Styela clava: one gene and its partner. The protein of the gene in region 1 purifies or fractionates together with the protein of each later gene. This does not show direct contact. Links are inferred from orthologs where the notes say so. Each region holds a gene or a part of one and is shown in the gene's direction. Other genes may lie near its edges. The genes, in order: drebrin-like protein B and neuralized-like protein 4.

Evidence for each region.
Region 2: the proteins of drebrin-like protein B (region 1) and neuralized-like protein 4 purify together in Homo sapiens (co-immunoprecipitation; 4 studies listed by BioGRID and IntAct, counting the BioPlex papers as one, with this or other methods). This does not show direct contact. The link is inferred for Styela clava from reciprocal best matches to the Homo sapiens genes DBNL and NEURL4.

What each region holds. Positions count from the first base shown.
Region 1 is NC_135250.1:12,756,626-12,764,572, reverse strand, and holds the start of drebrin-like protein B, read left to right. Parts: upstream 1-4,927; 5' UTR 4,928-5,358; coding exon 5,359-6,966; 3' UTR 6,967-7,947. UniProt on the Homo sapiens protein: Adapter protein that binds F-actin and DNM1, and thereby plays a role in receptor-mediated endocytosis.
Region 2 is NC_135252.1:6,169,912-6,178,085, reverse strand, and holds the start of neuralized-like protein 4, read left to right. Parts: upstream 1-4,897; 5' UTR 4,898-5,156; coding exon 5,157-6,171; intron 6,172-6,599; coding exon 6,600-6,738; intron 6,739-7,339; coding exon 7,340-7,536; intron 7,537-7,876; coding exon 7,877-8,174. UniProt on the Homo sapiens protein: Promotes CCP110 ubiquitination and proteasome-dependent degradation. By counteracting accumulation of CP110, maintains normal centriolar homeostasis and preventing formation of ectopic microtubular organizing centers.

The sequences.
Region 1 (7,947 bases):
AAAGAATCCACGAGAGGGCGTAAAATGTTTTCTTGGTATTTTATACTTTCCGCAACTCATTCTAAGTTTAATAGACGTACAGTATTAATGTGCGGCAAAGAGAAAAATATATATTTTATCAATTGTTCAGCAAATTTAGTTGACATACAATTCCTTTTTAAATTTGTTTCGTCCACATTGTTCATAAAATTAAAGAATATACTCTATGTTTGGTATTATATATGGCAAAGTCAAAACGTGCTGCTACTGTTCTGACATAATAAAATTGAATCTATAAGGTATGTGCTTTTCTCTGAATGTGTCGTGATGCTGCCTTTATTGGCGGTTTTTGAGAAATCACCACTCCAAAAACGATAATTTTCGAAATTCTCAAACTAATTCACGAGAATGCGCAAATTTTTTTTTATTATTACTTTATACTTTCTGAAACTTATTCTAAGTTGAATAGACGTACAGTATTGATGAGCGACAAAAAAAAAAAGATATTTGATCAATTATCCTGCAACTTTAGTTCAAATACAAACCCTTTTTTAATATGTTACGTACCGTTGTTTAAAAAATTGAAGAATATACGCTATGTTTGGTATTATATATGGCCAAGTCAAAACGTGATGCTACTGTTCTGGCATAATAAAATCGAATCTATAATATATGTGCTTTTATCCGAATATGTCGTAGTGCTGCCTTTATTGGTGGTTTTCAAAAAATCGCCATTTTAAAAACGATAATTTTTTGTAATCCAGGACAGAATCCACTAGAAGTCGCAATTGTTTTTTTGCTGTTTTATACTTCCCGCAGCGTATTCCAAGTTTAATAGATGTACGGTATTAATGTGTGACAAAGAGAAAATGATATTTAATCAATTATCTAGCAAATTTAGTTGAAATACAAAATAAATTTTAAATTTGTTACGTCCATGCCGTTTGTAAAATTTAGATTACACGATATGTTTGGTAATATATATGGTCAAGCCAAGACGTGCTGCTACTGTTCTGTTATAGAAAAATCGAATTTATAGGATATCTGCTTTTTTCTAAATGTGTCGTGGTGCTGTCTTTATTGGCGGTTTTCAGGGAATCGAGGTTCCGAAAAGGATAATTTTTCGAAACTTCGTATTTGCGGAATACCTGAAAATTCATTTTTCGCTGAGTTAGTCTTTTTTTAAACACTATTTTCTTGGTAAATTCAATGTATTCATTCAGTTTGAAGATTTTTCATGTATTTCCGTGCTAAAATTATATTTTGATCAGCCTTTTCAGTTTCATATGTAACTATAAGTGAAATTTATATGCGCGTGGAACCTATATTCAATGTGTAAAAATATTCTGGCTGAAAGTTCTGCTAGCTTCACAGAGGTGTTGCGTAGTCATCAATGGTGACAAAGTGGATATTTATCAACCTCTGACCCCAAAAAAATTACTCAAAGTGTTTTCGCAAGTTGGCGTTTATAAAATCTGAAAATGGATTCTTTTTTTGAAATCATCGGTTTGCTGAAAAATGTCAAATAAACTGCCCATAAAGATATAAAGACGGTTAAAGATATTGGAAATGTGGGTCATTTTTGCCAATGCCGATATCCTAAAAATATTGCCGATATTGTTCGTTACATAAGATTAAGTACATGCTAATAGAAACTTGACAGTCAGTGCAAAGTGAACACTCAAAAAACGTTTGGAAATTTTGCCACTCGGTGGTGTAAAGTAAACGACGAAGCAAAAAAAGCTTCTCGATATCTTGTTGTCACACATTGCATATAAAGCGGATCATAGAAAACAAATACCAAGTTACACTCATATTATAGTATTTTTAACGGGATTTCATAATAGTACACAATTTTGATTGCTCCAGCCCACTCATGCAGTCATGATCCATTTAATGTGTTGTGCGTCCACATTCAGGAAATGCATGGTGGTTTGGGAAGCTATTGATCTGATACATGTAAACCGTTTGCTATGGATTCAGAGATGTAGTACAGGTACGCAGTTTTCGAATTCGAGCATAACATGGTGTAGGCCTATTTCAATTTTGGTATAAATTAATCTGCATGAATGGCTTTGAAAGTCCCTTTCGGAAATTATTAATAAATGCCAGATTGAACTTCAAACATATTCAATCCTAAATTTTCCAGAATCCCTTCTTTAAACTGATATTTGTTATTGTGGATCTTTTCATTTTACCCATTGTAATCACATAGGCCTACAACATGGCCCATCTTGTTGTACATGATATATATATTTCACAAAAACAATAATTAAACTACTTCCGTGCAAATTTTGGATACATTGTTGATCGTATTCCTTTTTGATATTTTGAAAATAATGGTTTACGCATCTGGGTCTGACTTTGTCACGTCGTCTTTTTTCCATAATATGTATAGTATATTATACTCCTCGGTGATAGCGATGTAAATAGAACGGCAATCCAGAATACACATTAACATATAAAGCTTGAAAACAATGTCAACGATCAACTAAAGTACTAAACCATCAACAACTTGGTGACCGTACATTTCAACCCATGTGTATATCCGCGGGTTCAATCTATGCGGATGCTAAAACCCATGGGTTGGGGTTAGTATGGGTTCAAATATCCGCAAAACAGAAAAAAATCCATAGGTGCAATAGTATGCAGGTGCAATTGTCGTGGGTTCAAATGTACGGTAACCCAACAACTTTATAGAGTGTGTGTTTATTACTCCCGTGGTTTATTTTCGGGGGATGTCTTATAATTTCATTTATCAAAAACAAAATTAGAAAGTACAGAAATAGGGGATTTTAAAATATTAAAACCGATATCCATTTATTTAATTGACACGTTTTCCTCTCTCACACGTTTTAGAATAATCATTTCAAACGTATGGGAGAGATTTCTTGCTATCGACCAGATAAAAAAAAATTCGCGTTATTGACTAGTAGCCTAAATCTTATATATTTGCTGGCCGTGATACCAAGATCATTACGTTGGATGTATCGGGACGAACTGCAGTGACTAAATAATAAAGATGTAATTTTTGAAATTCATTTACTGTACCATAAAAACCAATTGTAAAAAGCTTCAGGGCGCTAACTGCAATGCCAATCACAGTTGTAGAGAGTTATGATTATCGGTATATATACTTCATTTTCTTGCAAAGCATGTTTGAGGAGGTCGTTACAGGGTTGTTCACGAGATTTCTTTCTTTGCCCTCCAGGCCGTGTACGTGACAAATCAAAATCTTGGTCCCTGACATCATGTTGACACTTTACATGTATGGTCAATCATAGCAAATAACAGTCCCATCATGATATTTCTAACGGAATTTTAAAATAGTACACAATCGTTTTGATTACTTCAGCCCACTCATGTTGTAGTCTTGATTCGTTCATGCTCTATTCAGGAAGTGCATGGTGGGTTGGGAAGTCATTGGTCTGATATATATGAACACGTCTATATTGTGCATTGCCAGTTTAAAATGGATTTTGGTATGTGGTGGCTAGTAAGGGTACATAGTACACTAAATTACACATAACGCGTTGAATTTCAGATTTATTATAAATTGACCTGCATGAATAAATTTACCAGTAACTTCATTTGCGAATTTCGTTAATTGTTCATAAGTGTCAAATTTTGAACATCTATCAGGAATTCCTCAGGCTTATTGGTTCAAACAATAAACTTGTGCTTGTGAAACTTCATTTTTATACTTTTATTCATCATAATTAGTTGTAACATCTCGCATCCTTTTTTACACACACGCTTTACAAAGAACAAGTGCGATAATAATTAAATTAATCTTGTTCAGTAATGGCGTCGGCTGTGCTCAGGTGGCTAGATGGTTTATAATCTGGGAAATAGATACCCTTATTGTACCCGTAACTGGTGAACGAGAAGTCTGTAAGGTACCGATATAATAGTATATTGACTTATGGAGTAAAAATTGCTGTTGTCAAGTGTGCTTTCAGTATGGTGAGAAAATAAACTACTGATTACTGATTCCAAAACACTAACTTAGCTCTAAAATGTGGCCGAATTTCACAAGCGCCTGAGCGTACGTAGGGTTTGAGTCTGAGATGCCGTGATAAATATTGGTGCCGGTAATACAATATAATACCGTGATAAATATCGGTGCCGGTAATACAGTGATATATCAGTATATATAATATAATACCGTAATAAATATCGGGACCGGTAATACAATATCGTTTTATTATTGAAGAAACAGGATTGCTTTAGTCCGATGGTCAATATACATTCCCCGCCCGACTTCTGGACTTTGATTGTGTAAATGTGTAGTTGTGTGTTGCGATTTTTGTACCGGTACGGTTACTACGACGGGGTTCAAAATAAACCTCATCATCTATCAATGCAACTAATATTACAGCAGTACTGTATTCGCGGTACTGAATCAACCAGTTTAATCCTAGTGTCTTGAGTGTTGGGAAAATGGTGAGATGTATGCTGGGATAAGAAGCCCTAATACTGTAATATTAGGGTGACCATAACACAGTAACAGGTAGTCAGGTACCGGTATAGGGTCTGGTATAGTTTAGTACCACATCCACTTCTAGTTGGCCTGGCTCAACACTTTTTGCATATGTCAATCCTAACCCCCACCTGACTACTTCACCGAAAAATTACGTCCTACCGGTTTCACAGTGGCGTAATACTGTAGTAAGGCCCACCGATATATGCGGATGGTCGTCCAAAACGCGCAGACGATAACCCGAAATCGAGCAAGCTATTTCTCTCGTTTTCTCATCGCAACGATCACGATAGGAGAGAGATTGCCGGCTTTAGCAAGTTCTTATCGGTGGCGCAGATGCCATTTCGGGCGATCGTAATTATACTTTGGCAATCCCTATGACGTGATGGTGACGTCGTAGTGACGTAATTTTTGGATGGCATAGTCAGGTGAGGGTTCATATGTTATTCCTCGTTAAAATCGTTATGCTACGCCCACTGGAAGTACTTGTGGTACTAAACTATACTAGACCCCCGGTATATACTGATTTGGATTTTCTCATTAACTGCATAAAAAGTTTTGACTCATTTCAAGTACTGACACTTCTGCACTTGCTGTGACTATGGCACCAACAAAGTCTTGTATCAGACACACACCAGCCCAATGCTGCGATGTCTGAATCCTAGAATCTCATATGGCTGTTTTGATTAAGCTTTTATTTTGCCTCTTCACACATTCTACTTCGATAATATAACATGTTGTATCGAGTGATAAATAAATTCTAATATAACATTCAATATCAAAAATAGTGCAGTAGCGTGACTGGATTTCAGCTTTGAATTTGGATTGTATATAATATATATATGTGTACCAAAAATTAGTGTTGCTTTGTGATTTCATCCAGCTGTTTATTAAAAATGAGTGTCAGTTTTTTTAAACACAAACAGGCGTTAATCAATACCTACAAAGAGGTTCTTGATGAAAAATCGGACACAGATTGGGCTCTTTTCACGTATGAAGGTAAAGATAATGAATTGAAGGTGGCAGGTACTGGAGAAGATGGCTTGGAAGAATTAGAAACTGAATTTAATAGTTCCAAGATCATGTATGCTTTTATTCGAGTTAAAGATCCAAAAACTTCTCTCAACAAGTTCATATTTTTGCATTGGCAAGGTGAAGGTGCTCCTGCAAATAGGAAAGGTGCTTGTGCCAACCATGTTAGGGATGTGGAAAGATTTTTTAAAGGAGCTCACATTACTATCAATGCTCGAAACGAGGATGATGTTACCCCAGAGCAAATCATGGAGCATATTAATCGTGCATCCGCGTCTACATATGCATTTGACAAGACAAAAGGTTCATATGATGATCCATCTGAGCCTGTTGGGTCAGTATATAAAAAGATAAATCCTGGTGCAGAAATAAGTTCCAAAAGAAATGAGAATTATTGGGAAAAGCAAGAAAGGGAAGAAGAGCAAAGGAAAAAACAAGAATTGAGAAAGGCGCAAGAAGAGAAAAATAGATATGCTCAAGAAGTTCGCGAAAGGGAAAAAGAGTCAAGCATGAGAAGACAAAATTGGGAAAAAGAAAGAGAAAAAGAAATTAGTGAGAAAGTAAGAGCTGCAAAACTTACTGACGACACTGCTGATGTTCGTAAAAGAGAGAAAGAAAAATGGGAAGCAGAACAACGTGAATTTGAAGCACATGAAGAACGGGGAAGAAAAAGAAGTGAATCTATAGAGAAAGCAGCTGAAGCAGCGCATCTTGTGCAACAACGAGACACTAATATGCGTGCTTTATGGGAACAAAAAATAAATGAAGCGACTCCTTCAAGTCAACCTGTTATTCAAAGGCAGCCCTCGAAACAAGGCGAAAGACCAATTGAAACATATCAACCGGCTGATGTTGAAGAACCAGAATATGAAACATTCGAAGAAGAAACTCGGAATAACGATAACAATATTGTGGACAATAAGCAGGAACCCACAAAATATGATGCGGAAGCAAATAAGAGTGGATATTCAGCAAGAGCTATTTATGATTATCAAGCTGTTGATGAGACCGAGATCAGTTTTGATCCCAATGATATTATCACTGATATTGAAGATATGGACGAGGCATGGGGAAGAGGTGTGGCCCCTGATGGACACTCTGGACTTTTTCCTCTCAATTATGTCGAGCGTTTGGAATCTGCTCCAAAAGCAGCAGAAGGTCATAAAACTTCCGATAATGTTTATGATGCAGTGGGCCATAATCAACAGGACGAAGGTCAAGGGGCACAAGATAATATATATGATGCAGTAGGAGAAAATCCTGGGGAAAGTAATGATGAAGATATTAAAAGTCCACATTCAGCAAGAGCTCTTTATGATTATCAAGCTGCTGATGATTCCGAAATTACTTTTGATCCAGACGATATCATCACTAACATTGAAATGATTGATGAAGGATGGTGGAGAGGTTCAACACCAGATGGAAAGTATGGACTTTTTCCAGCTAATTATGTGGAGCTTATTACAGAGTAAATTACTGCAATTGCCAAAGAATATATTCTTTATTGTGATGCTGCCTAAGTTATAACATGCCTTTATAGGACCAATCCAATCACCAAGTGTTTTTTTGACATTGAGTATTGTGAAAACATACTAATGCATCTTGAAAGTGAAATATTTGTAAATAAGCATGAGTCACAATAATATATCCACGCAAGATTATATTATACTAAGACATGAACACCAACTAGCGGGCTACACATGTTCTTGCTATTTTGCTTCTCAATGTTAACAATCACTTTACTTAGGCGAGATAGTTGCATCATTTATTAATAAATAACTATGGCTGTATCAAAGCTCGGTTGGCTAATTCAATCTAGTTTTAATTATATATTTTACCTGAATGTCATATAAACTATAATGGTATTATTATCTGTTATAAACAATGTTACCTGCGCCTAATTATTTTTCTAATGCAGTTTTTGACATCTGGCTGTCTTTGTTATTGTTGTATCCAATTATAAAACACTATTATTTCATAGTTGTTTTAATCGAAAATCAAAAATAGACTTGAACTTCATTCTTTTTTTGATTACAGTTTTTTCAAATCCTGTCAGACAATGTTTGCTTGTAATATATCTATTTTTTTTTTCAATCAAAAAACATTCAGTATATAACAATATGCTTCTACAATTTTTAATTTGTTTCTGTCCTCCATTAGAATAATTAATTGTTGGCTATATTTTAGGCAGATAAGATCATGATTTATGTCATACTTTACTCGGTCAATATTCTTATTTCATGCAAATTGAATCCAAGGTCATATCATTTGATTGTGAGCTTACCTAATGAATATCATTTGTATTGAAACTGATATAAGATGATATCAAGTTATATATATTTGCTTTTGTAATCCTCACTCAACGTATTCCAATAGGGAAAGCAATTTCCCTCATTTGTGTCTTTACCAAACTGCATTTAGTTTATACATATATTCAAATGTAACGATTATGT
Region 2 (8,174 bases), on another chromosome or scaffold:
TGTACAGGAGCAGGCACTCAAGACTATCGTGGTGTTTTTTTAATATGTGAGCGCAGATAATTGAAATCGCCATACTTTCGTGCCGTATCGTGTACAGAGTACAGAGTAAACTTTTCAAGCTTTTGAATAGTTGCTTGCAAAGAGCCTATTTCGGATAAACATAACATTCTTTTGAGGAGGTGCTTGTCCATATCATAGTTCGGAGCCAAAAATTCAATGTTGTCAGCTACCTACTGTGCAGAGACATTCGATCTAATAAAATATCTCAGTATACAGAAGGGACACTGCCGGCTTGTCCATATTAGCGATGCCGCTCGAGGGAATTTGTCCCCATAGCATAAACTTGCATTTACTCTCGTTTTTACCTTCTTCCGATTTGTTTTTTGTTTGGCAACATTTAGATTGCTTTGTATTGTACTGTATTTTTTTCTAATATAAATTGAAGTTATGTTTTGTTAAAAACTTTTGAAGCTACAGGACGTGGTATTTGGTTATATGGTCTTAATCACCAGTTGAATGGTTTGGTTGTACGGCAGCTATACACAAGATGTGTACTGTCAGTCAAGGGCGGTGTTATGTAAAACTAAACGTATTCTATTAATGTTATCCAAATGTCTCTGTGTCGTGTCTGACATTATAACTAATGTGGGCCTTTACGAATACATAATGATTGTGTGTGACGTTTTCGTTGTATCGGATCCTCCTGACACATAAATTACTGAAAACCTAAGACACATCACTCAGTCACATTGCTGGGTTGCCACACACAATAAAAAACATATTTCACAAGTAACTCACTCGAAAAAGAGTCATATACTAAGACTGCATTTTGAAAATACAATAGCCTCCATATGTGATGCGGTGAGGCTTGATCTAAGCGAGCTCAGTGGCAGTATTTTCAGCTGCAGAAAATAATTGCTCACTTGGAGTTGATGTTTCCGTCACACACATATACTTGCCAAACAACTTACTCATATAACCCGCTTTTTGCTCGTTCCCCCAAGTAAGGAGGCTTGAACAGTCAGAAAGTACTTTGGAACTAAAGAAATATGTTCACCTCATTGGCAACTGTTGGGACCTCGATATCTGCACTACCATGCATTAGACTCTGATGAATCGAAGGTAACACCATATTCTGTTGAAACAATTTCTGAAAGTACCACTTAGTCAACAAAATTGTGCTAAAATACCAACACTGAAAATGAATTTAAAATTTGAAGCGAACAGCGACAGCGAAAGGCCACCATCAGCATAGACCGTTCGCGTCGCATACGTGGCAGGCCGTCTTTTCCATATCAATCAACGAATCTATAGTAATACTTTCCTCTACCCACCACTTTTCTTGAGTGGTGATAATAATTCTTCAGATGATCCCCGTTCCGGGTGAATTTCATAGTCCTTGGGCGAATTTTCATAAATTGTCGTTTGTCGGCGTGTAGACAAGTTGTGCTGCTCCAAAAATCCAGGACACCATCGGCACGACACCGTCCCACAGAATCGGGGGCGAACCTCGTTTTGAGACATAAAGTTTTTTTTATTGTTTAGATATAATGTCGATGACATAAATAAAGATACCCAGGTGGGTGTGGAGTATATAATGTTGAGCAATTTTTCCTAAGTGGATTTCGGGGCGCTCCGGAAATATTCGTACCAAGATGACGCGTATCCTGAACCTTAACCTGGTAAACATACAATGTTCAGGTTGTGTGCCATCTTGGTACCAATACTTCGAGAGCACCTTTTTGTTAAAAACAATTATTTCATAACTACATGGGTTAGTTCTGAAGACATAGTAACATTGAATCTCCTCACAGTGTCAGAAATTCAATTTTAGTACAATAAATGGTAGTTCATTTCACTAATAGAAGCCAAGATCTATCGACAGCATCTAGCCACTTTTTTTGCACTCTTCAAACTACATTTGTGTTGCCGCGGGCGTTTCGTTTTCCTGCTTAAAGTTTCGGGACTTGTGAAATCGTTTATTAGTTGAAATGGATTGCAATATTTGACCTCGTCTTTCGCTCCGAACTAGGCCATGTAAAACCATCCACTGGTATCTAATGATGTGTAACGTGTTTTCTTTTGGAAGAACCGGAACCTTTCAGGTTCAGCATTGACTTCGGCCAAATTAATATATTCTTGTGGAAATAGAGGATATGCGTATGCGAAACCGAGATGTGCACCTTTTATGCCAACATAGTTGAGTCAAACATTTTGATCACTAGCACATCACATATATTTTCCTGAGTGCTTCGGTTGCATGGGGTAACGCGCACATTTTTGCGCACATGCATCAAATTCCACTTGTCTATTGATCTATAGGTTTTTGACGAGCTTTTGTGTATGATTTCATCCCATAGAATTTGTATGCTGTTCTAAAGAATACTAGTTTCAGGTTATTCATTTAAACCGCGTATCGGAAGTAAATTTGTAATATTGTGTGTTGGTTTTCAACTGGTTTATTGATATCCATCATTTTGACATCTTTAAATCGGTGAAGTCTTTCAAGAAGACTTGCTCGAGCCAAAGTAAATGAGCATCATCAGGTGATCGGTAAGGCTGCAAGTTGATTTCAGCCCTGCAACCTCCTACATAGAAGATAATATTAATTAGTGGGCTATGAGCTAAATTCCTAAATTTAGACGCAAACCTATCTACGAGGCAATATGTACCATCAATGTTACCTAAGATAAACTGAATATGTAATATGTCTAATAAATTCACCTACTAAAGCAAGTTCGATGGGTGCAAACTTTGTGTTATGGAATTGTATCACAGCACCGTTAAGAGAAGTATAAACAGTTTTGCTGTTTTGTATCACACCCTCTTTAAATGAAATTTCAATGTTTAAGTGCAAACATTAAAATTAGTCTTAAGTGATTCAAGAGTCTTGCTGCGCACTAACACAAATATATTTCTGTAACGTTTCGTCTGACCAAGGTCAGACTTCTTCAGACATACATAGTTATATATTTACGGTTCAACTATAACAAGAAAAGCGGTTACATTCCTTTTTTAAACAATAAATATTATTGAGCATGCATATGACCGAATTCTCTATTAAACTGACCTATTAAAATGTCGGTCGTGCATAAATCAGGACAAAACACCGATTTGGCAACTTTAATTTAAATTACTTTAGTTAAATCGTAAATATATACTACGTTAAATTTATTAAACGGAAGTCTCACTTGCAACAATGATTTTTGTTATTTATCGCTGATTTTATATTTGCGCAGCATTTCTTGACTGCTTACAATTTTTCTATTTTAAACCATGCTGCCGTTCCATATGGAGGAATTTGAATCGTCAAATCGAACGAAAATGTTTTTCGTTAATTTCCAATTTTAATAAACTTAATTAAATTACATTTCCAGCATTTGACGCCATGAATTTGAGATCCACAGAAAACTGTTGATGTGTATATTTTAGCCGATATTGCTCCAATCGAACAAAATATCGCTGTTATTTTCAATTCTAAGCCTACTCGTCGGCGCCCGAATGTCTGGCGTCAAATCTGTAACGGCGACGCAACATGACGTTTCCTTGGAAGTGAGCGACGTCAGGGTGACGTCAGTTCAACGTGTGCGTTAGATGCCATTATTTTGATATAAAAAAAATATTTGGATTTTATTTGTGTCTCGAGTATCAGCGACATCTCGCGATCAGTCTAATTTTTTATATACATTGATAACGTCCTCTGTCGAATGACGGTATTTTGACGAAGTTAGCATCGGTAGAAGTCACGATTTGAACCGCTCGAAAACTGAGTGTCAATTTTATGCTAAAACGAGATTCTTAATCAAAAAGTGGATTAAACTGCGCGATTGAATATGATAACAGATTGAGATATATAAGGACTCACTAAAGAAACTGCTAGAAGCACAATATGACGCTATTTAGTCGAGATATAAACGATTGAAAATTTCATTCGAAGTTACAAGGCACCCGAAGTTACTCGATTTTACCGTAACGAATTTTGCATATGTTATTCATAACCCCCACCTGACTATGTCATCCAAAAATTACGTCACTACGACTTCACCACGTCATAGGGCTTGCCAAAGTATAATTACGATCGCCCGAAATGGGAGGCGCAGTTCTTACCACTTTATGGCAGCTCCTGCCACGAACGAACCGCGGCAGCTCTTGCCATGGTTTTATAGCGCTATTCTGTATTCAGTAATCAGTATTAACGGTATATTCACAAACTAATGTACCAAATTCTAATTGATCATGGGGAATTATATCTACTTAAACCCTAACCCTAACCCCAAATCCATCAAGACTGTATCCATAAGAAAAACGTTCCAACTTACCCAATATTTGTCACCCTAAGGGACAGCCCTGTCCTTACGGCCCACCTGCCGCGGTTAAGGCAGCAAAATTTTACCTGCCATTGGTTTTCAATTTGCTGCCGCGGTAACGGCAGCTCGACATTGGTTTGTGGCAGCTAAAAATTCAGTCGCCATAGGTTTGGCCGTAGCGGCCATGGTATGGAAATACCGCCATGGTTTTGCGGCAGCTGCAGACGCCATAGAATACTTAAAACTGCACTTGCGAAATGGCATCTACGCCGCCGAAAACGAACTCGCTAAAGCTGGCGATCTCTCTCCTACCGTTATCGTCGTGACGAGAAAAATAGCTTGTTCGATTTCGGGTGATCGTCTGCGCGTTTTGGACGACCATCCGGATACTTTGGTGGGCCTTATTACGCCACCGTGACGTCGAAATGACGTAATTTTTCGGTGACGTAGTCAGGTGGGGGTTAGGATTGACATATGCAAAAGTTGTTGAGCCAGGCCAACTAGAAGTGCATGTGGAACTAAACTATACCGGTACCAGACCCCTAAACTATACTAGACCGCTTAGTCAATATTCAGATATTGCAATTTTCAACATCTTTCCTGTTCAAATTTTAGCTACTTACTGACATACAATCCATGCCAATGGATTGTCTGTGCCTATAATGCAACTGTTGGATATTTAAAATTAAATACCAATTACCTCAGTACTTGATAAATACATACAACATATGAAACATGAAGCATATGAGCCAACAAGAAATAAATTCAACTTTATAATTAACCCAGTGCAATATACCACTGCACAGAAGAATTGAAAACAACAAAGAGTAATTGTTTTTCAAATTTAAAATGACAAATGCACAAAAGTTTCACAGACGAACAGGTCGACTGGTTGAACTATCGAAACACTACACAAGTGCTGGAAGGAAGCATGCCAAAGAGGAATTCAATGATGGAATGATATTTTCTGAAAATCCATTGAAAGCAAATGAACTGTTTACCATATGCATAGACAAAAAAATCGCTTCATGGAGTGGTTCTATTGAAATTGGGCTGGTTGCAACAGATCCATCAAAATTAGTTATTCCAAAGGGGGCGATTGCAATTCGACATGGCAGTTGGTTTATATCCGGAACTTCGGTGAATATAGATGGTGTGGCAACAATTGATGATTATTGTCAGGACTTGGATTCTTTAGACATTGGAGATACTGTAGGTATCATGAGAAATGATAATAACCAAGTTCATTTGTATATAAATGGAGCTGATCAAGGTGTTGCTGCTGTGTGCATATATGAATCCGTTTGGGCTATGGTTAATTTGTATGGAAAATGTGCTGGTGTAACAATAGTCTCCGATTCAACAGTCTCTTTACCACAAGTTTCAAATCTGCAAGATTCATTAACATTTTCAGAAGTTTTATTTGACAGAAGAAATAGAAGTAAAATGTTGCAACATCAGTCTTGCTTTTTGGATGGAGAATCATTAGTATTTTATGCAAAATGTGGTTCTTTAATACAACTACTGGAAGGTGGTATGACTGCGGTCCGCTCCCATCATCAAGATGAGTTTAATAACGGTGTCGTTATGACAAATCGAACATTGAAAAATGATGAATTATTTGAAATAAAACTCAACGCCTTGACAGACAAATGGTCTGGCTCTATTGAAATGGGTGTTACTACACATGCTCCTGATTTGCTGGAGATCCCGAGCACGATGACAAATCTTCGGTCTGGTACAGTAATGTTGAGTGGCTGTGGGATCATTACAAATGGTAAAGGTAGCAGAAAACACTATCTAGATTTTCATTTGGACGAATTAAAAGTTGGAGATCATATCGGTCTAATGAGGAAAGAGGAAGGTAAGAAGTGACTAGCAATATTATTCAATTGGGTTTGATAAACATTATATGTAGTTACAGAGAGGAAGGAATTTATTGATCGTCAAATCAAAAAACAATATTAGTTACCACTCAACATGACAGAATTTTCAATATATTCAACTATTACTGTATTAATAACCAGAATCCAAACAAGAAAGTGCAATTCTTGATTATATATGAAACTTCAATCGTTGAGAAAAATAAATTTTAATTACCTCTTATACATTTTGCCAATTTGAACAAATTATGTTGAACATATTGCAGTTTTACGTGTAAGGTGTAACTATGACTGGTTGAGTAATCATGAGTTTTGGTATATTATTTCATAAAGCAGGATTTGTGGTTAGCTGGACTAGGTGCATCAACTATATATACTGCTACTAAATATATTTATTTCTATATTTTAGGTACTTTACACTTTTTCATCAATGGAGTAGACCAAGGTGTTGCAGCAAACAATATACCTCCTCATATATATGGTGTTGTGGATTTATATGGCAGAGCAGTCAGTGTTTCAATTGTTCCACATCACTCTGTTTTTGAAAGGTTTGTTCTTTATCCAGATAAAATGCTATCACCCATTTATTGATCACCTTTTTATAGATATCACAACAAGTTGATTAAATAATTTGTAATGATTTCATGAACTAATATAAACTTTTCAAATTCATTTTAAAATCAGTTACAGATGCCAAGTTACCATGTAATTTCAATTTCATTCTGTTATATATTGGTATATAGTAATAATAACTTTTTTTGATATGATGGATTATTTTGTCCAGGACATGGGTATGCAACTGTTTATCGCAATGACCTAAAACATAAAATAATGATGATGCTGATGGCCAAACTATTTAGCTATAGTAACCAGCAGAATGTTTTGTACAGCAATTTTACACTGCTATATTGCTTGCATAAATCAGGCATACCACATCCTGATTGTGTTGAACAAAGAAGTATTTTAGACACCACTCAGTGTAGAACTTATGCTTTTTATAATCATGTGACACAAAGTCAAAAATGCAGGTCTTGTTACGAATAGGAAAAAGCATCCAAAAATATGGGCCATATAAATAGGCGTGGCGTAGGCCATTCAGCTTTTGTTTACTTATTCCATAACGAAAACTTTTCCTCGTTATATTATTAGGAGTCGAAGAAACAATGCGGTTGTTGACAGAATTTTGCTTGATTCTAATCTTCTTGAAGAACGTGAACCACTTCTGTTTGATGTTTCATGTGGAAAGCACATCGAACTGTCATCGTGCAAGAAATCAGCCATGCGGCAAAATCCTCTGGAAGATTTTAATCATGCAGTAGTGCTGAGTGCAAGAACTCTGAATACTGGTGCGTACATTAGAAAACAAAGTTTGATTTTCATTTTCATCATCTTTGGTGTTGCCCCTTTGTTAATTTATGGTGGATCAAACCATTCCTCAAATATCAAATTCCCATGTAGGCTGACTTCAGCATTCTTGCATTTTATAAAATGATATATACTGGTTTAGCCTCATTCATGTGATATGATCATATTTGACAGTTATTTGAACAATCAAAAAAAAAATTAGCTATTAATCAGGTAAAACCCAAAATTATTTCCAATTTATCATTCCTATATATATTTACATTTTTACAAACATTTTTACTATATAATTAATTGCAATAATGCTAATATTTTATCGTGCAGGAGAAACCTTTACTGTTAAAGTGGAAGATGTTGTAGAAAAATGGTCAGGTTCATTGGAGATTGGTATTACGACATACCCACCAGAAGCCTTGAATTTCCCAGCAACCATGACAAATGTACGATCTGGAACATGGATCATGACAGCTACAGGTGTAATGGTGAATGGTGTAACTGTTGTTGATGACTATGGTACAAACGTAGACAATATGTCTATTGGAGACACTCTTGGAGTTTGTAGAAAATCCAATGGAAATCTACATTTTTATATGAATGGAATAGACCAAGGATTAGCAGCTAA